Linked DNA regions of Styela clava. The protein of the gene in region 2 interacts with the protein of the main gene of each other region in a biochemical or structural test. Links are inferred from orthologs where the notes say so. Each region holds a gene or a part of one and is shown on either strand. Other genes may lie near its edges. The genes, in order: SWI/SNF-related matrix-associated actin-dependent regulator of chromatin subfamily D member 1-like, SWI/SNF complex subunit SMARCC2-like and SWI/SNF-related matrix-associated actin-dependent regulator of chromatin subfamily A member 2-like.

Region 1 (8,431 bases), on a different chromosome or scaffold from region 2:
TATTTCGCGTTTCGCTTCGCTTGCGAAGCTGAGTCCGGTTTTTCTTCAAAGGTGACGTAACTCTCTTTCAGAAGAGCGCTTGGAATTTCGTTTCTTTGTAACACGTGTTCATCGAAGCGATAAGAGTGTGAAACGTTCTCTCAAAAATTTTTGAAATTTCTCTCTTCTTACACGCGTAGGGTCGAACGGTTTCGCCTACGTCACTTGGGCGCGTTTTAGTAGGAAGACGCGAAAATAAGCTTTTTAAAGAGATATTGGGGGTGTTCCTTGTACGTTTGGTTAACTGGTCATTACATATTATAAAATGGTACATAAAGTCGATTGTATACAGCGGAAAAAAAGGGTTAAGAAATATACGCAGTAAAACAGTTTTTGGTACTTTTTTCTATGAATAAATACAGACTTGATAACTATAATCCAAAAATATATATTGCATAAAACTTATTAAAATGTTTATCATAAAATTACCTCAATATCATAGCAAGACTGTTTCTTTGCATCTGCTGGATCAACACTAATAACATGATGAATAACGATTGGGTCTGGTGGATGAAGTAACGGTCCAAGTAGCCGTGGAATGTCAGCAAAACGAATACGACGTTCTCCTAATATAGGTCCAAGATATCCATCACAATTGATGAATTCTCTCTCATGCTCATCCTAAATTAAATATAAAAAAGATTATTATTTAGAAATTGTGATGTCCTAATTAATCCTATATAGTAGCATTAAATTCAAACATTCTCCTGTGGCAGATAAATTTCATGATGAAATGCGGACTAAAGTCTTAAAAAAGTAATACAAAGTCATTCACTGAAATGGCCATATTGCTCCATCAGCTTGATAAAAAATGGTAAATAAAATCATAGAATACCTGCAGTTTATGAGACTTGATATATTGCCACAAAGCCTGAATTATAACAGGTCGTGTCTGTGTATGGATCCCAAGCAATCTAGCTAATCTTCCATCTAATTTGTATTGTGGTGGCAAGTAGTTGAGCATAAATAGCATTGTACAACGAACATTTTTATCCCCAGGCCTTTTGACCTGATAACAAAGCAATATTGTAAGTGACAGCACACATCATTAACAGTGCATACCATGGTTTATTAAAACGAAACTACACTTTTATAAGCATGTAATTCGACAGGGATACTAGTTAATACCACAATTTTCAAAATCTGCCATCTTTCAATTTTGATATATTTTTATACCATTAAATTCAAGACAGTCTGAGTAACTTTTGAAATATTAACAAATTTTGATACTCTGGAGTGGTTATGAAAATTCTTGGACATATTTGAAAATGCGATGCCATCTCAATTATGCCTAATGAATCAATCACTCAACCACATCCTCACTTTTGATATAATGATTTGTTCATATACCTAATGATAACCTATACCTGAAATCCATCTGTTTCTTGTGTTGCATTAGTGCGATGCCATTCTACCAAATGATTATCTGGTCCATATAAATCTTTGTCTAGCTCAATGACGAGACTTTTAAAAAAAGATGAGAATTTACGCTTGTGTTTGGAAGCTTCATGTTGCTTTGCAAGTGGATCATCTAACAGCCTACCCTCTACTCTCAGTTCCCATGAGGCCTAGATGAAAAAATGATAATTATACAATTATAAGAAGCACAATACAATCATTGCAATCAATTTCATACCTTTCCTGCATCATCTTTTCCATCCACTTCTTTAGGTGGATAGAACTGATTTGAGATAAAAACTCTCAATTTTCTTTTGACTTTGACTGGACGTTTGAGTGCTTCTTGAATATCGAGTCTTTTTCTTGTAATTGTTTGGTCAAGCTTGCGTTCGAAAGCCAGAAGATCCATATATGCCTGAAAATTGAAAGTTTGATAAAATATTGAAATAATATGTTGATGTTGATATACTTGAGAAATAATGAATTAGAAATTATTTTTCATCAAAGCAATTAAGTAATAAAAGAGGAATTTCATCGATATGAATACAAGGCTTTTAATATTTCTGTATTTCATGAAATACCTGAGAATCAGGAACTAACTTTCGAACAGCATCAGGTAATATCTTGTCTGAAAGAAGTCGGCGTTTCACAACAGGAGGTTGTCGAGATCTGAAACATAAAACGAACATTGTTAAATCAGTACGGCACACTATACAGATCGACCGACATTGTCTCGTTTCAGAGAAATCCATATTGCAGATGATTAGACGCCCCTCCTTTGGGGGAATGTCTGGACATGATCCCTCAAGACCGATAAAACTACAATAAATTGAAGTTGCGCAAAAAAGTACAAAGCGCAATCTAAAAATGTCATCATTGGATTCCTTGAGAAAAAATAATTAGATTTACGGAAGGTAAAAATTTTCTACCATGGCATAAGAGAGTTTTGAACAAAAAACAGCAATTTTGGTCACATGACGGCTGCAATTAATTTAGATTATTATCGAGACAAGCATGTCGCGATATGACGCATCTGCCGTTGTGCCAGACGACCCTCGTTTGTGAAACACGCAAAGTGTTTGTTGTATTGAACCAAATGAAGGACATTCTTGGAATTTGAAGAGTGTGCCGTACCGTACTGTAAATACGATAAGTAAATTCCAAAGAAAAAATCACATCAGACAACCCAATCATGTCTGAAATGACCAGCCAGACAACCAAAATCATGTCTGACTGTCTGAAATGACCTAAACATTATTCACCTGTCTGGAGCACCAGGTGTGCTTGCTGGACTTCCTGCATGAACACCAGGACGTTTCCTCAAATGTTCAGCACGCATGGGCCCACTGGCATGTTGATGTCCAGGTGCCGGGTAAGGAGATGAAGAGCCGCCTGGTCTCGACCTCATGAAGGGACCTTGAGGTTGGTAAGGGCTTCGAACACTTCCATGTTGGTTCATCGTCGAGTTTGCGGCAGAGAACCGCTTCTTCAGTTCACAAAGCACCTGCACACTGCCCAACCTAACACGAAAATATAACTAAGTGAGCAAGCAACAAGGATCGGTAACACTATAACAGCGTAAAGCTGAGGAAAGAAACGGAAATGGAAGAAAACCAAGTTGCCGTGTTCCCATCAATTTTTTTTTTCTAATTGAAGGTGGAGTGGTTAAGATATATAGATAGATAGTTTATTTCGAAAACTCCATAACAAACATAAATTAAAAATGAGGAATTCTTGAGGGCAAGCAAAACCTATAAAAAAGTTTAAAACATGAGAAGTACCGTATCTCACGTGCCTGCCCACCAGCACGCACACAAAAACACAAGCCCAATTAAATGAGACTTGCGCCAAACTTGACAAACGAAATACACGATAGTATTAAACTTTCGGGCTGTTGTACGTTCAACAATTACGTTGATAATGACCAATACCTACAACCTCATGCAAAGATAAGGTGAGGAGTGGAATGTAATAAATTTACGACGATAGTCATACTCATGAAGCCATGAAAGCTTTAAGAAAAATCAAGCCCCGAAAAACTATACTGATTGCTAGATTGGGCATTGCGCAAAAGGTGATAAGAGGTTTAATCGTAAATATATACTGTTTAATATACGAACAAACGTTCGCCATCCCCAATCTGCTACCTTTCGACCGTATTTTGCCATCCCCAATATGACTTTTATGCTACCACCACTATAGAGGGTCTGTATTGACGGACCGCTAGCGGGAACGTTTAAAATCATTTCGTTTGTACAGTTCCCGAGTTCAAAACACTGAAGTGAATGCTGTTGTCTGGTTGCGCTGTTGAGTTTTAACTTTCATTTCGGTTTTCGGGACTCTGGGTTTTTGTTTATATCATTGGGATTTTGGTGTTACTGTGCAGAATCGTGTACTGAAATGTCGTTTCACAAGGGAAGACAGAAAAAAGAATCAAAATCGTTGAATCTTCGTGTGGTAAGGGAAAAGCAGAAATTATGGTTTCAAAACCTGATTATTTTAAAATTTCCTTGCACCTCAATGGCTGAAAAGTACAAGTGAGTGTTCCAATTTATTTATACGCTTTTCGGAGTCATATTTAGAAATTAGGATTTGAAAATAAAGCACTGAAATGTCTGAGTACGGTAGTTATATTGTTATACAACAACTATTTTACAATTTATTAACCTGGTAACTGCAAATTCATAAATTTGTGATGGCAAAGTACGGTATCGATAGTCTATGCTGCCTATCGGCAAACCAGAAATTAGAGTCTCGTACGGTAATTATAATGCAGCATTATTGAAGATATATATCCTGAAATTATAGAACCTAAACTTTATTTTTAGAATGACATTTCATTGTGGAATGTTTGATAAACCTAACAAAGCTGGATTTGAAATTATTTGTCATTTTTTGTTTACAAAACTTGACAAAGCGAAGTCAACTGAACTTTTCAGGTAGATCTTTGCTAAATTTTTTGTATTTTTTGCTATGTCTGGTGTATATCATCATGGTATTGTTGTTTCGTTGCGATGCATTATAGACTTTGTAATATTTAGAGTTTTTGTTTTAGACTATGTTACCCTGTATCAGATAAAAAAGCATGTCAGCAATTTCGAACAGTTTGTCTGAACTGGTGGAAAAGATTATCGGAGGTTGGTAAAACGTGTTTGAAGACTTTTTGTACCATGAGATCTGGAGATAGGCAATTTGAGTTATGAGTTTGATTTTCAGTCACCCTGGGGTGTTGTTTAAAAATAATACACTGCAATTATTAGTCGTGCAGACTTAACTTTATTTAAGCCCAAATAACTATAAATCCATATGTATAAGTAATTTTATTGTTATTTTTGTGCAATTTCCAAGGTGACTGAAACTCATAAAGCTGATCGTCTTATGTCACCTATATATCTTACATATTTCCATGGAATTTTGTAAAAAATTTCATTTTCATTCATTATTTCTATTTTATCCTTTATTTACAGGAACACCCAAGGTTCAATTTTCCACGAGTTACCAACACGTTACTTATGAGCCCGACCGGTGCTGAAGTTTATAAAATTTTATTTTATTTTTCCAACTTCGTCCTTTTCATGGAATCAAGGAGACTTGATCGTTCTGTCAATGGTATGTTTTGTGGGTATGTAACAAGTTAATCTAAGGAATCAGTAATAGTCCTGCTTCTCGGGTATTTTGATATGACACTTATTTCACACTGTTTGCTCTAATTTCTTGATTAGACCAAGTATGTTCTTCTAAATAATATACCTACAAAACTAATGTAAATACTACATACCTGTATTATCTAAATTTAATAAGTAATACCTATTTAATTCCAATACCCAATTCCAGTTCACAGAGCACTAGGGATGGGCCAGGATTCGGATCCGGACTCTGATTCGAGTCGAATCCAGGCATTTTTTTACCAAGTCTATAATCAATTCTGTTTTTACTAATTTATGCCTATATTTGTACTTTTGCCACTTCTAATAAAGATGACGACAGATATCCAGATTATATAACACAAGGTAAAAACTATTGATCGCTTATGTTATAACAATGATGTTGCGCCAGTCGCCTTCAAACTATCAATTCTTTTTGGTATATATGTGGACCTGTGGTTTGCAAAAATTATGTGTTAGCGTAAAAGTTTGGAGTTTTTGATTCGCGTAAAAATGAAACATGCTTTGGATCAACCCAATGGGAAATCTCATCAATTCCTCTTTTAAATAGAGTTTATTACTTGCAGTTTATTACGTGTAATCTTTTCTCTAAAAAGGGAGCAATGGAAAGCATGGAGAGTTTTAGAACGTTTACAGGAACAATTGAGTTACAAGCAGATTTACAACATTGCATTGACTAAGAGTGGCATTTCTCTACCATTTGCGCACGTGACATAGTAAATTTACGGCTAGAAATATCTGTAACTATGGAAAAGTATTGTAGTCAAAAGCTTTTCATTTTTCATATTGCCATGTGAGAATTTCTGAATAGCCGCCCAGAATTGACGCGAAGTGGTTGGCTGGAAATCCAGTTCACAGCCAACGCGCACATTGACCCACGTTTACGTTTGTATCATGGCCGCCAAAAAAGAGGAATAATATATTTTAAAAATGATTCAACAGCTATCTGCGGAACCATTATGCAAAAAATATGAGCTATGACGCGTGTTTGTGAGCGCACGGTGCTGTAGCATGGCCAAAAACGTGTTTTTCTGCTTCTATATTGTGACGTCACGGACTCGGAGGATTCGAGTCTTGACCTATTACTCGGATTCATCGAATCTTTGTAATGCCGGACTCGTCCCATCTCTAGAGAACACTGGACAAGTTTATGTTATCACGTTTTCTCTGTATTGGGGGCTTCTGAATATTATCCCTATATTTTATAGGAAAAGGGCAAGAAAGCACAATTTTACCTCCAGATATGAAACAAACAATTGAAGGATTGAATCTCGCTCGAGTGATTGCTTTGAAAAACGCTGCTCATAGTGAAAGTGTAAAGATGATGCACACTATGCAAATTTCAAAACAATCTGATTTGGAGGCAAATAAACTTGCAAGGTAATTCTTACATGACATTGGATTAATGATTGAGCATCTTATCTGAAAATGATATACTCAAAAAGATTAGTTTAAACATGGCACATAAAATATCTGATGTAACCATATTAAAAGCAAAACTATGTATTTTTATAGAAGTCTCCCACAATGTTGAGTCTTGAAAAATCATGAAAGTTTGAGAACCAATGAACCATGTAACACATTTTCTGTTTTCTTAAAAGTTCAGCCCACTTTTTCTCCATAATAGTGAATTGCAATGCAACCTCAGATTTCCAACTTGTCATCATATGCACATCGTGACCAAACCCAACAAGATATTTGATTAACTATTATTTACTAACATATATTTTTCTGGTTACAGTTCCATGCTTGATGAATACAGAGATAATGTTAAATTGAAGAAACATTTAGAGCAAAAGAAAAAAGAATTACTTAGCAAATTGCATATACCAGCAGAAAGGTTGATTTTTCTTTTTAAATTTGATTATAACTTGGATCATTTTAGTTAAATAACCTCGTATAAGAGGTAATTTTCCCAATATTTCGGATGTATTCATTATTCGGCAGAAGATAGCACAGTCGTCCAGGTGCATCCTTAGGATATGTGCAGTGGCCTAATGATTTAAGTTTTAGACATAACTGGGATGGCATTATATTTTATAAACTCTGGTTCAAATTCCACCACCTCACCCATGGTTTTAGTGATTCCAGTTCTTCGAAAATAAAGTAGCTCCTTACGTTTTGGTGGCTGGTTGTATAGAGCCTTGTTTGGCGGATAGGTGTTTGATTACGCCGTTTTCTCATATTTCCTTTTGTTAGATTCTCTGCTCATTCAAAATCGTCAGTTTTGAACTTATTTTCTCAGTGTTGAAGTCTCATCTTTTAATTTTTCCAGACTTTCTGCGAAAGGAACTCCCTCCAGAAGTCATTCCGTACCTCAAACACCAGAAAAATTTTTACTTTCAAGAACTAACAATTCTGAAGCAACTGTGAGAAAATTATGGAAGAATTTGTTAACGGCTGTTGAGAATACACATGATGAGGTAGCTATCTTTCCATTTTATTGACAACCATATTTTTACTTCTATTTTCTAATTTGTAGTCAAATTAAATGTGTTTTATATGTTTTTTTTTGGTTGTTTTAACTAAATATGCCTTTCCAGGTTGTAAAAAGTATAACAAAGAGTTTCTCGTTTTTTTTATACGGTTTGATATTCGTGTTAATATTTAGAGAGAAATTGTGCAATCAATATTAAATATGAATGGGGACACTAAAGGATTGAATGCGGCAGAACTTGCTCCTAAAGTGCCTGCAATATTGCTGCAGCAATGTACCAACAAAGTTTATAAGGTAATTGTATGTCAAGTTCATATACCGTATGTGTTTTGTTGCATAATCACTGCACCCTACTCGAAATTTTGAAACAATTGCTGGAACGAAAGACATGAATAGACGATAGACATTGTGTAAAAAACAAGTCATTTCTTCCAGTGTTAAATTCGAATCTATCACTATATATTCACTATGTTATATACTGGAATATTGAATTATTTTTACATGATTATCGAAATCTTGCATTATATTCATATTGTTATTTTTTTTCCAGAGTGTGGGAACGAGTCTCTATGAAGCTGGACAATTAAATCTTTGTGGCTTGATGAAACTTTTCAATCTATCGTTACATTTACTGATTGAAAAATTACATGAAGGTCTTTGAAATTTAATATTATTATTACACCTCAAGGGATTAAAATGAATCAAGTTCTGAAGTCTCCTGAATACCAATGTGTCTTGTTGTTTACCAAATCAAGCCATTCAGTGTATTGATTGCAATAGTTCAATTTGATAAATTGGAAGCAGAATTATAGCAAATTATCTCACCAATTTTGGAGATCATGAATCCTTCTGTGCATAATCTTACCCCACATCTTTACACTCTATCTGTTCA
Region 2 (7,872 bases):
CCTTCTGTTAAATATATCACGGGGCGAGTAAGACAACCATTCTGTACCAATGCTTTTTCAATCAGCATAAACATTTCAACGTTCCTGTCCATACGAGATGGATTTTGGAAATCGAATCGCCGCAATCCTTGGTCTATCTTATACTTCATTATTGTTCCCAGAATATGGCACAGTCCTCCACCTAATCAAGAAGAATTATGAAGTTAAAAATAGATATGAATAATAATTTTTAAGCGTGTTTCACACACCCTTGGCATATCAAGGAGCCAGGCAGCATCTGAGAATAACGCAGGAGTGGGAAAGGTTTTTGGAACAAAGGAACTACAACAACAACATTTATAGTGTCACAAAAGCATAAGATGAAAACAATCAGCCTTGTGCCAAAACTAAATTTAATCGCAATCTCAACAAACTCATTGAGCTATGTTTTAGCTAGAACATCAAAATATGATTTTAGTTTGGTTGTGGCAGCATAAGATGTGGGCCAGATTGATTTGGCCCACAGGCCGTGGTTTGCCAAAGTCAAGTCTAAAGAGTACACCACAATACTGAAGACTGTTTGCTTAAACGAATGCCCGAGATACCATTGATCAAGTAGAAGAAACTTTGGTTAGGTGCAACTAGGACAGAGATGGGCTACATGAGGCCCACTAAAGCATTTTGTGTACCCCCACTCTATGAAATTCCTTACATTATTTGGTTTGAGAATTGAAAAATCACTCATATTGCTTATTACCAAACTGCAAATTACGTAGTTTTCTATAAAAATAACATGCGGAAAATACACAGGTCACTTAGACCAACAGAATCGGCTTTTTTTCACTCTCAAGTAAGACCAGTGGTCGGCAACCTTTTTTCAGTGACGGACCGGTAAAATCTGACCAAAATTTTGGCGGACCACCTTTATACAAATTACAGACGAACTGATGTAATTTAATAAATTATATGCGCTAGAAAAGTTACGTTGACAATACATTCAAAAACAAAGGTATAACGTGTTTCTTACGTTCGTCCTACTTCAATATTTCGTTTTTGTAGTTGTCAATTTTGAAAACCTGACTTTACATACTGGTAACAACGCTATTAGGGCATTGTACGTTTTTTGTGTCACCTTTCTGCGGACCGGCAATGGGCCGCGGCCCGGTGGTTGCCGACCACTGACTTAGACCAACAGAACAGGCTTTCACCCTCAAGTAATCTCAAACATATTCAGTTTTACCAGGTTTGAGGTCTTGGAAACATTTGATTGGAATTTTTGTTAATGCAGGTGATTTTGCATTTTTCCCAAAAGCATCTTCTTGAAATTGCAATAATTGAAGACATAGGTTTGAAAGGTATTTGTTAGTGAAGGACTCAACCTGTATAAGTAGAAAAAAAGTTTAGGATGGTTCATGCGACCATCAAGTCCATGCATTCGAAAACAAATAACGGGCTCACTAATCCAATAGCCTGATAGGTAACTGTAGAAGAGGCTGTGGCTCGTCATAGAATCAAGCTGTATTATTGGCTTTTCTGAATATGTAAATCTTATCCTATTAGATTATCTGGCTTGACTTTTTAGTCTGTGATATTTTTCAGGACAGTCAGTGCATATGAATCCAATAACAAGGCAGGTAGATAGGGTAAGATTTTTCATATTCAATAGAGCTTGACTTGACAAAGTACAGCTATGAATACCCGAAATGGCATCGGCGCCGGCGATAACGAACTCACTAGCGTCAGTGATCTCTCTCATATCGGGATCAGTGGACCAAGGAAACGAAAGAAATATCTTTCTCGATTTCGGGTGATCGTCTGCGCATAACTTCTGGATGACGTAGTCATGTTGGAGTTAGGAATGAGATATTCAAAAATTGTTGAGTCATGCCAACTAGAAATACGTGCCAGTAGCAGTGAGTATTCAGTGAATAAAATAAAATTTTACTCATTCCTGGGGTCTCCTGAAGTACGCGCCCTCAAGTACTTCTAGTAGGCGTAGCATAACGATTTCAATGATATAATATTCTTAACCCCCACTTGGGTACGTCACCCAAAAATGACATCACTATGACGTCATAATAGCGCCATAGAGCTTGCTAAAGTATAGCTACGAGCCTACGATCGTCTGAAATTGCATCTGTGCCGACTATAATGAACCCACTAACGTCAGCGATCTCTCTCTAATCGGTATCGTTTCGATGAGAAAACAGGGGGGGAGAGGGGCCATGCCCCTCGAGAATTTCATTCTCAATTCACCAGTTTTGTGGCAATCTTGTCTCGTCGCGCTTGCTGCTTGTCATTGTTACGTCACAAAGACTTGACCATTTGCTGTTATGAGCAGTTTGGGAAAGACTGTTTCGTTAGCTTTCGGTCAGTTACTCGGTCTTGATTTGTTCTCGCCGGTTTTTTATTCGAAACGCTTGGATTTTGATGACCAAATTACTTCGATGGCTAAATTTAAACAGGTGAAATGCAATTTGTTTCTTTCAGCAAAATAAAGAGTCGCTTTCCTCAAAAACATCAATAAGCGCTACTCAGGCAGTGGATGCACCGGTTACGTCAGTTACGTCTATCACTTCTATTCCCGAAGATAAACTAATATTCAAAGAGGGGAAATCAAACGATCTTGGATATATTCTTAAGAAACATACGCAGCTTACCGATACGGAGAGATACAGGCTTCTAACTTCAGATAGTCCGAAAAACGTGACGATTCTGGATACCGCTAGACAAAGTTGTCGTAAATTTCTCAAAAAATGGCTTGACGATGACAGATTTTGCAGTTGGTTAGTTTGAACCCAACTCTCTGATGGGGGTGGATTTTGTATTCACAAAAAGCCATCTGAGTTGTTGAATCAGTTTGCTTATTCACAAACTGTTGTTGTTTCGCGCTTGAAGAAGGGGTGCTTAAACCCAATATAATTTCTAAAATTTTCAAATTTTAAGGCTGGCTACGCCACTGGGTGCGGTGGCTTATTTATATCAGAAAATAACGAGAAGTGTAGAATACAACAAACAAACAAGTGGTACACAATACAGCACAAAACTTACTTGTGAATATTTCTTCATGAATTTATTCAACCAGTTTCTAATTGGTTCGAACATCTGGATTGTATCCTGAGAATCATAATATTTTGTATTTGGACATCCATCCTTCTTTTTTGAAGACATTCCGGTGGAAATTGCACCAGTAGGCTACTAGTACAGTAGTAGTATACGGTCTGTTTAACAAAAGAGAAAAATAATACCATTGAGATTGCAGGAAACATAAAAACCTAATTCAGTAATCAGATATTTCTAATGTCTGAATGTTGGAAGGGACTGCTGTGCCGGTATCTAATCTTCTTGTACCTGATTCCTCATTTTTATTTATTTTGTTTTCGTCATTTATTTTGCCGTATGTTAAGATTACCGGTACCGGTACGGTATGAAATCGAATTGAAATAAGCCTAACTTATACTGTTATACTCAATTGCTATTCTGTAATTGCCAATTATTTGAAGATAAACTTTTCTGAATTTCTGTTCCATATACTTGTCTTGTGTATTTCAATCAACTTGTGCCATTACGAATTCAAAATAAATTATCCCATCTTATCTAGTTTACTGTAAACATAGGATCGCAAGAATACAGAAAGAGGCTCGAACTGAACGGAAAATACCGGGTTCCGCGAGATGACGCTAACGTGCAAAGCAGAGTGGTGGACGGAGTCAAGTATTTTTGAATATAACAAAATCAATTTTAAAATGGAAACGTATTAGCAAAAATGAACTTCCCAGATTCCATTTATTGACTTTTTCTTCATAACATATACTGAGCAATACGTTAACGGGGATAATAATAAAAGGTTTGGCCATACACATATATATACGAGTATATCATACAACTTGGCGATCATTCGATTTCCGAGGAAAATGGGTCCGTAAGATTTGAATATGTCAGACTAAAATCGGAAACCAGTACTTGTAATGGCAGTTGCTATAATATTTACCCTAAAGTGGATAACATACGAAATGTTTAGCCACGGTTTCTCACCCCATACAACCCTATGTCGGGAATATGAATAGTTATTTGATATCGTTTTAAAGACATTGTGGCGGAGAGAGCCATAACTACCGAGTGGCTAAGTCAATAACTATACAGCGGTGAGATCAGAACGGGCGAACTCGCGTAGGACAGTTAGAGGTGCAATGACAGAAGATATTAGCACAATGTGGAGAAAACATTTGCATGGCCATTTTGTGAATCTGATGCTATTGTGAATCATAAAAAAGACTTTTATCGCGATACATGACGAGAAATTTTAAACATTTGAATTGGAAAATCAGTATTTGATTTCTTCACCATTCTGAATATACGAACTATACATACAGATATTGAAGGAAGTATAGAAAATAATCACATTTCAGGGTGAAAGGAGACGCCGAAAATCGATCCTGATCATCGAGCGGCGGCACTCTTGGGAAAGTCTAACAGAACGTGAACGTGAAAACGGTTATGTAACTACTTCTACTGTAACCGCACTTCACAACTGAATATTCGCTCGTATTAAAAAATTTCCGACGTCGTAAAAGGATTATTGGACACGTTTAGTGGCCATAACGATCGTTTCAAAATTTTGTTGTTATTGTTATTTTCTTTCGTCATTATCATTAAAAAATCGCTTTTCTCTTCGAATACTGGACCAATTGCTTTGAAATTTTCAGTGGTTAAAGATAAAATTTTTCTCCAGAAGGCTATTACTTTTTTTTCGCTATGACGTCATCAAAATTATTGCCATTGTGTGGCGCTACGTGTCCATATATTTGAGCATAGCTCTCTTGTTTCTTCTGTTGTTTGAAAGGAAATGTAATAAACTTCAAACAAGTCATTATCGTACTTGCTTGGCATTTTGGTAGTAACGGAATCTTTCTGGTTCTACCTTCCCAATTTATCACACCCTGGATGAGGGAGTGGCAGAGCTGGATTTAGACAAACAGAAGCCTTGGCTATGCTATTTCTGGGCTCCTTTATAACAATGACGTCGCTACTATACACGTGATCTTTGTTTATTTTGGGATTGTTATGAGAATTAGGTTCAGTTAACCCTGTTGCAGTGTGCTACACTTTGTTTATATTCTGTCATTATTACATTATCGTTCTTTGTGTTGTGATCACTGATTATCGTCAAGCGACAACGGCCTGCATCTGCCTTACTGCATTAGTTACGTGCCGTTACGAGTATTAGACGGTAGTCCGATTAAGTTTGGCTATACTTAGTGACTCAATGTAATTATGTTGTATGTTCTTGTGTTTAGGTTAAGATGCGTTTTTAGTTTCCTAAAGCCATACTTTTGGTTATTATAAATAAACTGTCATAACATGGATATTTAATACAAAAATTTAATACCAAGTGTTTATTTATTTGTTTTTACCAAACATTTTATTGTTATGCTGATTATGAAGTCGAAATAAACTTATACTTATATATATATACTTAAATGCGACTAGCTTCCTGTAAAGCAGAACTTTTAAATTTACAGTCTTCATAAGTGAAGCGTTCGTGAAATGTGATACTTGGAAAAGAACTTGGTACTTCCCCCTTATTGTACCCGGGTACTTGAAAATGAGAAAACAAAATTCTCGGCTCTATTTTGAGGAACAAAGAATGATATTGCATAGGTAGAAACAGGCTGTAATTGACAGATATAGGCAAATTTTTAGTCGATTTACCCAGATCAAAGAGCCAGTTCCAATACAATAAAATGAAGGAATTTTTTTATATCGTTGTTTTGTGTTTCATTTCTTATTCTAACCGGTAGGTATTGATACTTTGGTTTATCGATAGTTCTATCTATGTTCTTTTTTAATTGACCGATAATGCGGGCCGGCGTTTTGTTATTAATATTATTATTATATTATTACTTTACATATATTTCAAAGTTAGAATAATAGCACGTTTTGTCGGTAATTTTTTTAAAAGGCTAGCAATATGAATTTTAGGAGAATGGCGCTATTGAAATAGGAGTTGATTAGATCGTTTTTAACTACAATTATTTTCATCTATGCATATGTAAACAAATAACTGGCTAACTAATCCCCTACTCAACATGGACTTGTAACCGGGCGAGACGCCGTGGTTTTTAATATGATTAAGCCGTTCTATCGGCTTTCCTCTCCCCCCGGAATAAACATGTATATCCTATTTTTGCGTAGAAATAAGCTCAGCGCTAACTCAGATATAAAAAATGCTCGAGGGTGAAGTTAAGAAGCCCTTTGGGAGGTAAAAGGGATCTTTAGTACAAATCCCCGCCAACGCTCAAAATAAGAAAATTAGTAATTATCTAGTAAGGGTTGGGAGTGCAGATTACGAGGAAATTTCATATCATATCTAACCCTAAATACTAATTTGTCATGTCAAAACGCGGCGGTGGTGTTAAATCTCACATTTTTGCATTAGTGACAGGACTTTGTACAAAAGATCTGTTCGAAATTATAGCAAGTATTAAAGAGAGCATATCGCCGCACTAAAACCAAAATTGCTTCTGTCACATTTTTCAATAACGGGTATTTCAAACTCCTGTCAGTCGTAGACCTGACAGTGTCATCTTTCGGACTTGGTTATCTCCCGTGGCGTGTAATTCAAAAGCATATCACTAACTGTATTGATGAGCATCAAAAATGCAAAAAGTAATTGAAGTACCAGTATTGCTGTTTGTGAAAATTTGACAATGATAAGTTTCTAATCAGTTTATGGTCAGAATATATTGTTCACGATTTTATTGCAAGAGCGTCTTTTCCGTGTTATTCAACAAGCGCGTTCTGCCACAAGGATTTATTAGCTCAACATATCATGCCACCTAAATGGCATTTGATGATGGAGTCGGTTTTACTGAACGTCCGAAGTACGCTATATATGTCTTGTAGTAAAGCGACCGTGAGACTATTTCGATTCGTTGAACCACTGGGGCGCAACGAGGTTAAATAATAGCTTATTACGTCAAACATCACGATGCGGTTAATTTTACACGGGTAAAGGTTTAGGTGTTTCTCAGAAATTTCCATCCCGAATAGTATCACAAGTACTTCTAGTGCAATGGTTTTCAAACTTTTCAAGCCGCGCCCCTTTTTTAGAATTTATCATGTCTAGCAGCCCACCTCAAAAATAACTATCTAACAATAAGATACAAATAACAGACAGTAACGTGAAAATAAGTTTTATTTAAAAATATGTGTGAATAATGACGAAATGTAAACGATAAAGAAACATAAAAATTGGAATAAGGAGGACAAAATCAAATCTAACAAATATTCATATTTTTAATCAATTTCACGTCCTCAAAAAAAATTTGTCTACGCCCCACCGTCTGAGAAGCACTATTCTAGTGGGAAGTCGACTGGTAACCGGACGTTAGACCGTGGTATGCCATCTCCCGCGAGATAAATATAAAAATCCTATCTTATCCAATTTTTTTTTTAGATGCAATTTCTGGCGAAGAAATCAGTGACGTAGATCATCCTAAATTCAGGTCGAAGTCGGTTCAAACAACGACAACGGGTCTTACCACAAGAAAAGGTAAGAGTCAAGATTATTGTTGTTGAGTAATACAATTATCCTATTTTACAGAGTAAAAGGTCACTTTAATCCCATTTTTTTTAAATCGATCATGCGATTAGATTATACAATTACCATATTTTACGGAGCAGTAGGCGCACATCGAATCCTTTTTTTCTCTCAAAAACCATCATGCGCCTAAAAACGGTTGCGTTTTATGGCCCAATGCGCCTAGTGTATGAAAACAAGAAAGCTATGCTCAGATATATGGACACGTTTACCGATTCCAAGAAAAGCACCAACATTTAGAGACATCAGATATAACAGTGACTGCAAGCCCCGCTTTTACGAGACAGTTA
Region 3 (8,412 bases), on a different chromosome or scaffold from region 2:
CCTTGGCTAGCTGGGGGTCCATATTGTGCAGGAGGTTGACCTGCAGAAGGATGAGGTTGCTGCATCCCTGTATTATATAAAAGTAACAGTTATGAAAGGATTCACAAGTGTTTTTGGGCCCAACCAATACATCAGCATTGGTTAATAGTACTGATAGCGAACAATCAATCATGAAATTGCTATCTATAAAAGTTTGCTGATGGTTTTCTTTAGAATATTTCTAGTGTTAACAGTTAAGTACAGGAAAATATGCTATTATTGAGTTGCATCTCAGCTGAAGCAAATAAAATAAAATAGTAAGTTCATTATTATTTTGTTGAACTCATTGAATCACTAAATCCAACAAAAGGATTTGTAAGTTCATTATTATTTTGTTGAACTCATTGAATCAATAAATCCAACAAAAGGATTTGTAAGTTCATTATTATTTTGTTGAACTCATTGAATCAATAAATCCAACAAAAGGATTTGTAAGTTCATTATTATTTTGTTGAACTCATTGAATCAATAAATCCAACAAAAGGATTTGTGTTAACAATCTTAAAGAAAAGAAGAACCAAAATTAACTTTACTAGACTTGCATTTTAAGAATCATATGAACAAAATTTAAACTATTTTTCCGAGAACAATTCACCTTCTTGTATCAAATACATGATTAACATTAAATACAGAAAGCAGTGCACAATATTAATCAATACTTTGTTGCAAATTGATATACTTTAGTGCAATCAAAATTTTAGTTCTGAGCACAATTTTTAAATACCGGTACATACTAATTGAATATGGGCATTTTCATTTTCAGTGTTGCACGAAATTGTAAAATGTTCTTTCTGTGCAATTTTGTTGCTACTTATAGCTTCTTTTTTACAAGTGGAATATGGGCTTTAAGTTAAGTGTAAGAAAACTATTAGCATTGACTAAAAAGTGGTTTTGGTGTGTGTTATTATGAGATATGAATTGTCACATTAATTTCATGTAGGGAAAGCCTTGATTGTATATATCAGGAATGGCGAACCTTTTTTAGTGAATGGGTCAAAATTTATATTTTATTGTGGAAAAGAAGACTATAGGTCATAGATATCTAAAAAGGTTTGCATCAATGAAAAGCTCGCTGTTATGTCTTTTCCACAAGTGTTATATTGTGGTATTGTGTTCGCATGCATATGAATTACCAAAAAGCATTTGCAATTCTATGTCAAATCTTTTTCATGGTTTCGAAAGAGTTTAGAAGAAATTTTCACTTTGAGAGGATTATATTTTCATCGGCTTCTAGCAAATTAAAGTCACTATCATCCTGCTTGAATATTATTTTGTTTCCCAACGGCATTGTGTGCTGAAGAATACTCTATTCTCAGAATTTTTTGTATCGCCTTGTTTTCTCTTTACTTTTGCTTCAAATAGGGACTGGGGCCATATAACCATCCCTGCATCTCATTGTTATGTCCTAAGCGTTGTCGCTGCATGTCACCAGTAGCTGCATCACAGTATACTATGGTTGTTCACTTATTGTTGGATTGAATCAAGGCTGGTTTTAATATCAATTTTTATAAATGAAATGTTGGTATATTTTTTTGCATCAATTCGTAACTTGGTGGGTCAATGGTTCACCATCCTTGGTATATATTATGATAAACTATGGTAAGCGGCAACGGTCAGTACTTTTTATATCAATTTAAATGAAAATTATTCAGCATTATAAAAATAATTCTAGCACTACATACCCATGCCTGGGTGATGTTGCTGTTGTCCCATCTGTGGGTTATACTGTGATTGGGGTTGTTGTGTTGGGTGAATAGTTTGACCAGGCGGAGCGGTACTGGGTGCAGAACCATAGCCCCCTGTTAAATCATAAAATAATAGAAGTCATTTACCGTGTGCATGATATATTACAATATTTGGAATTCTAACCAGTCACAAATCTTTTTAGATTCGAAAAGTCCATGTATATTAAATTCAGAGACAAACATAGCTTTGTTATGTTTTTTGTTTCATTCTGTTACCCCACTAACTGCAGAATATTGCAGCCATGACCTTTTAGAAGAGATATGGAAATACAGGTACCTGCAAAAGGGGCATTTCCAATATTCATCTTAATTCATATTCAATTGAAATTTCATCTTTCTGAATATCCAAATAGTAGAAATCTGTTTACCAACCTTGAGCTGGATAAGAATAGTTCGGAGGTTGGATCTGTGGATTCTGCTGCATTGGTTGACCCTGCATCGGGACTTGTTGGGTCGGCATTTGTTGCTGCTGTTGTTGGGGCGGCTGCGGCATCTGTCCTACAGGTGGAGGTGCACCTGGGCCAATTCCCCCAAGTGATTGTTGTTCCATGACCTTTAATAATCAAGTAGATCTTGTCTGCTAGTAAAGGCTAAGCTAAAACCTGAAAAACAAAGAAAGGAAATTTGCATAATCACACAACTGAACAAATACTAGAACTGAACAAATACTAGATAGACTGAATACCTAATAAGTTACTGTTTCCGAGACAAATACAGTGTTTGTATTATTGCACCAAATGTCAAGACATCTCGGAAGCACAGAACTGTGCCCTACTGACTGTACTGAAACAGAAAAGGCCAAAACTGTATACTTTAAATGTGAAAGAGAAAATATGTTCCAAAATAGAGCAAGTTCAACATAGAACACAATAAACAAAGAACCCTATGGACTTGGTATATCTGACAGTCTGAGGGTTAGGTCAGTGCTTTACCAACCATGAGACCATAGAGAAATTCCTTTCCCCGGGAAAGAATATTGCTGTTTTAACCCTAGGGTTTCGGCCCGGTCATAAATGGCTGATCTGTGTCATAATTTGGGTTTATGACTAAATTAAATTTATTTTGGGGGGTCAATAGTATTTCATAGTGGTCTGCATGTGAACAAAACCAATTTCAAAACTCAAAATGTTTGAGTTTAAATACCCATGCTTGATCCGAGTGTTCTTAATTACGGTGATGTCATCATATTTTTTTTATGTATAATTTTTATTTTGCAACAAGGTCAATTTTATTTGTATGAGTATTTCAAAGCTTAAAAATAACCAAATAATCTATGGTTAGTTGAAAACGAAGTATTTTGAACGCGCGAGCAACGTTCTTCGGCTCATAATAAACAAACAAAGATACCAGACAGCACGCGATCAAATGCTCTTCGATAAAACGAATATCACTTCACTTACAAATCCCAGTCTTGTTTTATCTTGAAAGTGACGTATAGCTCTTCTAAAAGAGAACTCTTTCTCTCGCATATCAATCACGTGTCGACCACAGCGTTAAAAGTGAGAAACTTTTTCTCGAAATTTTTTGAAATTTCTCTCTTCTTACTGGCATATGGTCGGACGCATTTACGCTACGTAATGTGGGCGCGTTTTAGTGGAAAGCGACGAAAATAAGCTTTTTAGGGACACATTAAAGATGTCTTTGGCATTTTTGGTTGGTGAAATATTAAAAAAATTATAGAAGGGTGTCAAAATGACCCAGGAACACCAGGGGTCATTAGGTTGGAGGAAATATAGAAATATTATTTTGTATAAAAAATTCCTATAATAAAAACATTTGAGAAATTTTAGGTGACAGTAAAAGCCCTGATAAAACATATTTTACAGTTGGCAAATTCAAACAACAAACTGATTTTACATAGTGATAAAAAAAACAGATGAAAAAACATTATACAGGTAAAAAGAAATGAGGGTGCAAATATATACGAGGAAAAAACATTATACAGGTAAAAAGAAATGAGGGTGCAAATATATATGATGAAAAAACATTATACAGCCACAGGTAAAAAGAAATGGGTGCAAATATATTAGGAATGACCACAATTTATTTACAGGGAAATCATATTGTGAGACAAATTATGCTTTCATGATAAAACTGACAAATTTTACAGAAAACATAGTTATGTCAAAAATACAATTTCTCAAAATAAACATTATTCAAACACATAAATGTTGATGAAACAAAACTCATGGGTCATTCCGTGATACCTGTAAAACTTTTAGGAATTGTCTAAGCACATATAAACAATAGAAAACATTCTTGATACATATAAAAGTTCACAAAGTTACCACATAGTCTTATTATTGAAAATCTTATCTTAATTAAAATACAAATCCACTAGCTTGTCGGCAAGTTCAGTGAACACCTGAGTCTCCTGAGATCATGTTGAATATCAGGTAAGATTGAGGTTAACTGATCATTTGTGACATGATATTGATATATTTCTTTGATTGATTTCCTCTGAAATAATATTTTTTCAAGTCTGCAATTGGTAGATCATGATTGGGCTCAAATGATCAGACCAGTAAATGCAACTTAGATACCCTTGATGCGCACCACAGCACGCCAGTTCTTGACCATCAAAGTTTGTCTCTTTGCATGAAGATTGGCATCTTCAAAAATATCAACCAATCGAGATTCTGCTGCTTCCTGTAATGCCATTATCGCTAAAGATTGCCAAAAAATGATATTTGGAGTTAATTTCATGCTGATTTCACGTACCAGTCTTGAAAAAGGCAATTTTCTTATAAGTAACTTTGTGCTCTTTTGATATTTTCTAACTTCATGTGATGTGTTTATACCAGGTATTCCCCTTTTTCGTGGTGTAGACTTTCTTCGCATTGATCCATGGGATGCATTTTGACGGTTAGATTGATGCAAAGACTTTCTCGTCATGCTTGAGTATATTATTAAATAAAGCAGAAATAATGAACGTAGTAGGCTATATGTCAGTCAGGGATAGCCAATTAGAATAAAGTATTCAAATATCTCGTCATTCCAATATCGGAATTAACGTATATAAGAATATCGGATTTTTGCGTAATGTCACACATTTGCGACGTCTTCATTGAATGAGGACTTATCGATAGAAACTTGCGCATCGCACAAACAATCAGCACATGCTCACTCTCTTTGCAAAAATCTAGGTCATACATGTTCTTTCGCTTTGCAAAATTTTTTTTCTCTTCATTCTCCGTCTCGATTTTATTTTCAGTCCTCGCATGCTTTCTCACAACAATCCAGTGCAATATATATTATTTCATTCCCTTTCCCAATTCAACGCCGCCTGCATGCTTTTCACTGTGCATGAACACAGCAGAATAACAATATGGTACACATAAATACTAGAGGCTTAAATATTAGCATTTGTATAAAGGCATAATGAATATTCGATTGTTGTGGCTTGCTTCAATTGCCTGTAGAGTGGCTTACCCACTTTGCGACCACGACATATTTGCGGCCATCAACTTCATCGATCTAATTAATGCCGAAAAAATTAACGAATCGCGACGATATTTCTGACCCGTTATCGTCCTCTTGTTCCTCATAGCTCTGCGAAATTACACTGAAATGCGGCCACAAACAAAAAAGTTACGACCGAAAACCCGACCGAAGAAAAAAACAGGACCATTTTTTCATGTCGCCAACTACCCCTTGTCCCATCAAAAGAACTTGAAAATCCATACAAATATAAGAGATAAAAAGATGAAACTTGGCAAGGGGGTAGAGTTGTGTTCCTTCTAACCGTCTTTCGCCTTTCTACATTTAAAGGAGGGGGAATAGGGGGGTGCGCATTTCCAATACGTCGATAATATCTTTGTCGGCCAATTTGCGACCACCATGTTTTTGTCTGTTTGATTGCTGTGATGCGGTGTTTTGAATATAATTTGACGAGTTTTGTTCGAAAGGACAGTGTTCTTAAAATATATGACGATCAGAAATGCAATTAGAAGAAGGCTAGAAGCCCAATTTTCCATGCATGGCTGCGTATGCTCTAGTCTCGAGGCAGCAGAAACAATGTTCAAGGCTTGAAATTCGTGGTCGCACACTGGTCGTTCGGTCGCAAATACGTCTTCCGAGTGTCGTACTTTGGGTGGTTTGTATAGCTTTAACCCCTGGTCGTAGAAAGGTTATTCGAGGTTTAGCGTGTAGAATAAATGCCAATGCGCCTACGGTGAAAAAATTAACGGGTTAGAAATATTGGTTTCTGTTTTATAGCGGTTTGAATGAAATCGTCCGCAGACTGGCTACACCACCCTATTGCCCATGAATTTTATTACTCTCAGAAAATATACAAAATTATCCGAATATAAATAGTACTTATGTCAATAGACTATTATCGCAATACCATGTCCATGGGGATGGTACTGTAACATTGACAGAATCGGTCACAGAATTGCTTGGCTATCTTTTCATGTGGCCGATTGTACAAAGTGTACAATTAAAATAAATTTACTGTGTCACAAGTTGCTATTATTTCTATTGAAAGCTGTAAACTATTTACAGTATTAAGTATTTTTTGCATGGTGTGATAAATTTTTCTCTGTCCCAAGCAGAATGTCATCATAGATCATCTATCCATCGCTATATAATGACAATACATCCCATTTAATTAAACAATTATTTTTTGCCTGTAATAAATAGTTCAGCGCATTCCCCTTCACCCAATCATTGAAACATCTAGCGTCTAGCCTACTCGCAGTTTTATTTTTTGTTTTTCAGGTTACTTCAAAGTGATTAAATGAAGTAAAACACATAAGGAAAAAATCAAACAAAGACATCGATACGGTATCCTGTGAAATAACAATCTTATTCCTATATCCTTGTCTGAAATCAATACCCAAGAATGAAAAACCTCACTTACTTTTTTTTTTTGCCAAATTCAAATCCATTGCCAAATCGGATTTATACAAATTATAGTTTTGGTGTATTCAAATATATCGACGCATGAAATCCAAATTGGGCTAAGTCCATTTTTCTAGTTTTGAGAAAAACGCAAAAAACGTTTTTTTTTTGTTTCTTTTTTTTATTTCTCTAATACCTTACATCGAGGATGTCTAGTTTTTATGGTCCACCAAAGTTACAATGAAGGCCATATTTAGATGGTATAAAAAAATTTGTGCTCCGCCCCAATTTTTTTTGGGGGGGTTTTTTTTGGACTTAACCCTTTTTGGCTCTCAATTTTCTTGACCAAAAACAATTTTATTGGACTTAGGGCCCCTTTATTATGTTATTATAGAGGCTGGTATGGACTTAGCGCTTTGTATTATATTTTTTGAGAGGAGCTATGTCCAAAAAATGGACTTAGCGCTTTGTATTATATTTTTTGAGAGGAGCTATGTCCAAAAAACGGACTTAGCCCCAACTTACAATGCAGTTATCCAGAGATAAGTCCACTATAGTAGACACAGCTCTGTTTAGTTCTCAAATGCCCTAAAAAAAGCAGGGTTATGTCCATAGCTGTCTTGAGATCTAGAGCACCTAGAGATAAGGCAAATAGACCAAAATGTAGAGCTAAGTCCAGGAAAATCAGCAATTGAAAAATGTCATTTTTTGGAAAAGTGGACTTAGCACTGTTTGGTTTTGAGGTGTCGATATATTTCAATATTATTGCATGAGGTCCGAATTTTATTTTTGTGATGTAATTTAGGTGATTTCATACAATGAAAGGTAAGACAAATATTAAATAATTCAGACCAGATACATTTACTATTTAATTCCATATGTCAGTATGTCCATTTGTGCATGAAGTTGAGACATTATTTTCCCATTATCATCAGTTATAATATATAATATAAATATTAATTAACCTATCATTAGCATTTTTATTTAAAAAAAAAAATTTTTTTGAAGAATTAGATAAATAATCAGAAAAACACCTATCATGCCATAGGTGATTTCTACATTTTCCATCTATGTAATCATTTTACACAAATTAGTAAATACGGTAATCTGTTACAATGAAATCTGTTACATATTGTCATGAGATGGCCAGTGGTTGCATTGGAAACTTGATATTATAGCATGATGGATTTATTTAAAACCTCATCAATGTGTTGATCTTGCATAATATCATTTCTGCATCCACTGTCCATCAAACCCATGCACCCCAATACCTTACATTTAAAAACTGCTCTCAAATTGCATTGCATCCCATAAATACCATCATATTTTATAGAGTTTCGATATTGCCAGATTGCTGACTTGCCACAAATCACAGTCAACAACACAGATTTGTTTTCAATGTTGTTGGCTATGATTTGGTCTGGATTAAGACGCCCTACATTGCACCAATCCCAAAAATTCTGTGCCCAATCACAATTAAAAAACGGATGAAAACACGTTTCCTCTACATTATCGCATAATACACATATGCCTGATTCGTCTCTGAACCAATATTTTAGTTTATCTGCGGTAGGCAGTCCATTATGTATGATTTTCCAGCTGAGTTCTTTATACTTATTGGGTATTTGTATTTGCCAAAATTTTGTCCATGGGATAGGTTGGGTAAGATGTAGTTTGTTTGCGACATATATATTATGATCATGAATTTGGTTATCCAATTGGTTTGATTTTAAGCGCTTATAAATATTTTTGGTTGTTAATTCTTCTGAAACCATATAACGAT

The links.
Region 1: the proteins of SWI/SNF complex subunit SMARCC2-like (region 2) and SWI/SNF-related matrix-associated actin-dependent regulator of chromatin subfamily D member 1-like form a complex in vitro, tested with the Drosophila melanogaster proteins (2 studies listed by BioGRID, with this or other methods). The link is inferred for Styela clava from reciprocal best matches to the Drosophila melanogaster genes mor and Bap60.
Region 3: the proteins of SWI/SNF complex subunit SMARCC2-like (region 2) and SWI/SNF-related matrix-associated actin-dependent regulator of chromatin subfamily A member 2-like form a complex in vitro, tested with the Drosophila melanogaster proteins (2 studies listed by BioGRID, with this or other methods). The link is inferred for Styela clava from reciprocal best matches to the Drosophila melanogaster genes mor and brm.

The regions. Positions count from the first base shown.
Region 1 is NC_135250.1:7,867,439-7,875,869, reverse strand, and holds the start of SWI/SNF-related matrix-associated actin-dependent regulator of chromatin subfamily D member 1-like, read right to left. Parts: upstream 3,198-8,431; 5' UTR 2,897-3,197; coding exon 2,700-2,896; intron 2,107-2,699; coding exon 2,019-2,106; intron 1,853-2,018; coding exon 1,676-1,852; intron 1,608-1,675; coding exon 1,407-1,607; intron 1,049-1,406; coding exon 875-1,048; intron 661-874; coding exon 469-660; intron 1-468. Other genes in the region: uncharacterized protein LOC120338837, read left to right, coding at 3,838-3,974, 4,266-4,376, 4,493-4,574, 4,905-5,046, 6,311-6,482, 6,844-6,942, 7,378-7,525, 7,714-7,833 and 1 more. UniProt on the Drosophila melanogaster protein: Involved in the recruitment and site-specific anchoring of the Brahma complex at specific promoter sites.
Region 2 is NC_135263.1:4,352,439-4,360,310, reverse strand, and holds the start of SWI/SNF complex subunit SMARCC2-like, read right to left. Parts: upstream 3,198-7,872; 5' UTR 3,151-3,197; coding exon 3,031-3,150; intron 1,359-3,030; coding exon 1,220-1,358; intron 182-1,219; coding exon 2-181; intron 1-1. Other genes in the region: uncharacterized protein LOC120340372, read left to right, coding at 6,812-6,863, 7,439-7,534.
Region 3 is NC_135250.1:17,719,882-17,728,293, forward strand, and holds the start of SWI/SNF-related matrix-associated actin-dependent regulator of chromatin subfamily A member 2-like, read right to left. Parts: upstream 3,182-8,412; 5' UTR 2,470-3,181; exon of another isoform or gene 2,387-2,469; 5' UTR 2,335-2,386; coding exon 2,157-2,334; intron 1,839-2,156; coding exon 1,722-1,838; intron 68-1,721; coding exon 1-67. UniProt on the Drosophila melanogaster protein: Transcriptional regulator. Acts as a coactivator, assisting one or more dedicated transcriptional activators of ANTC and BXC homeotic gene clusters. Can counteract the repressive effect of Polycomb protein.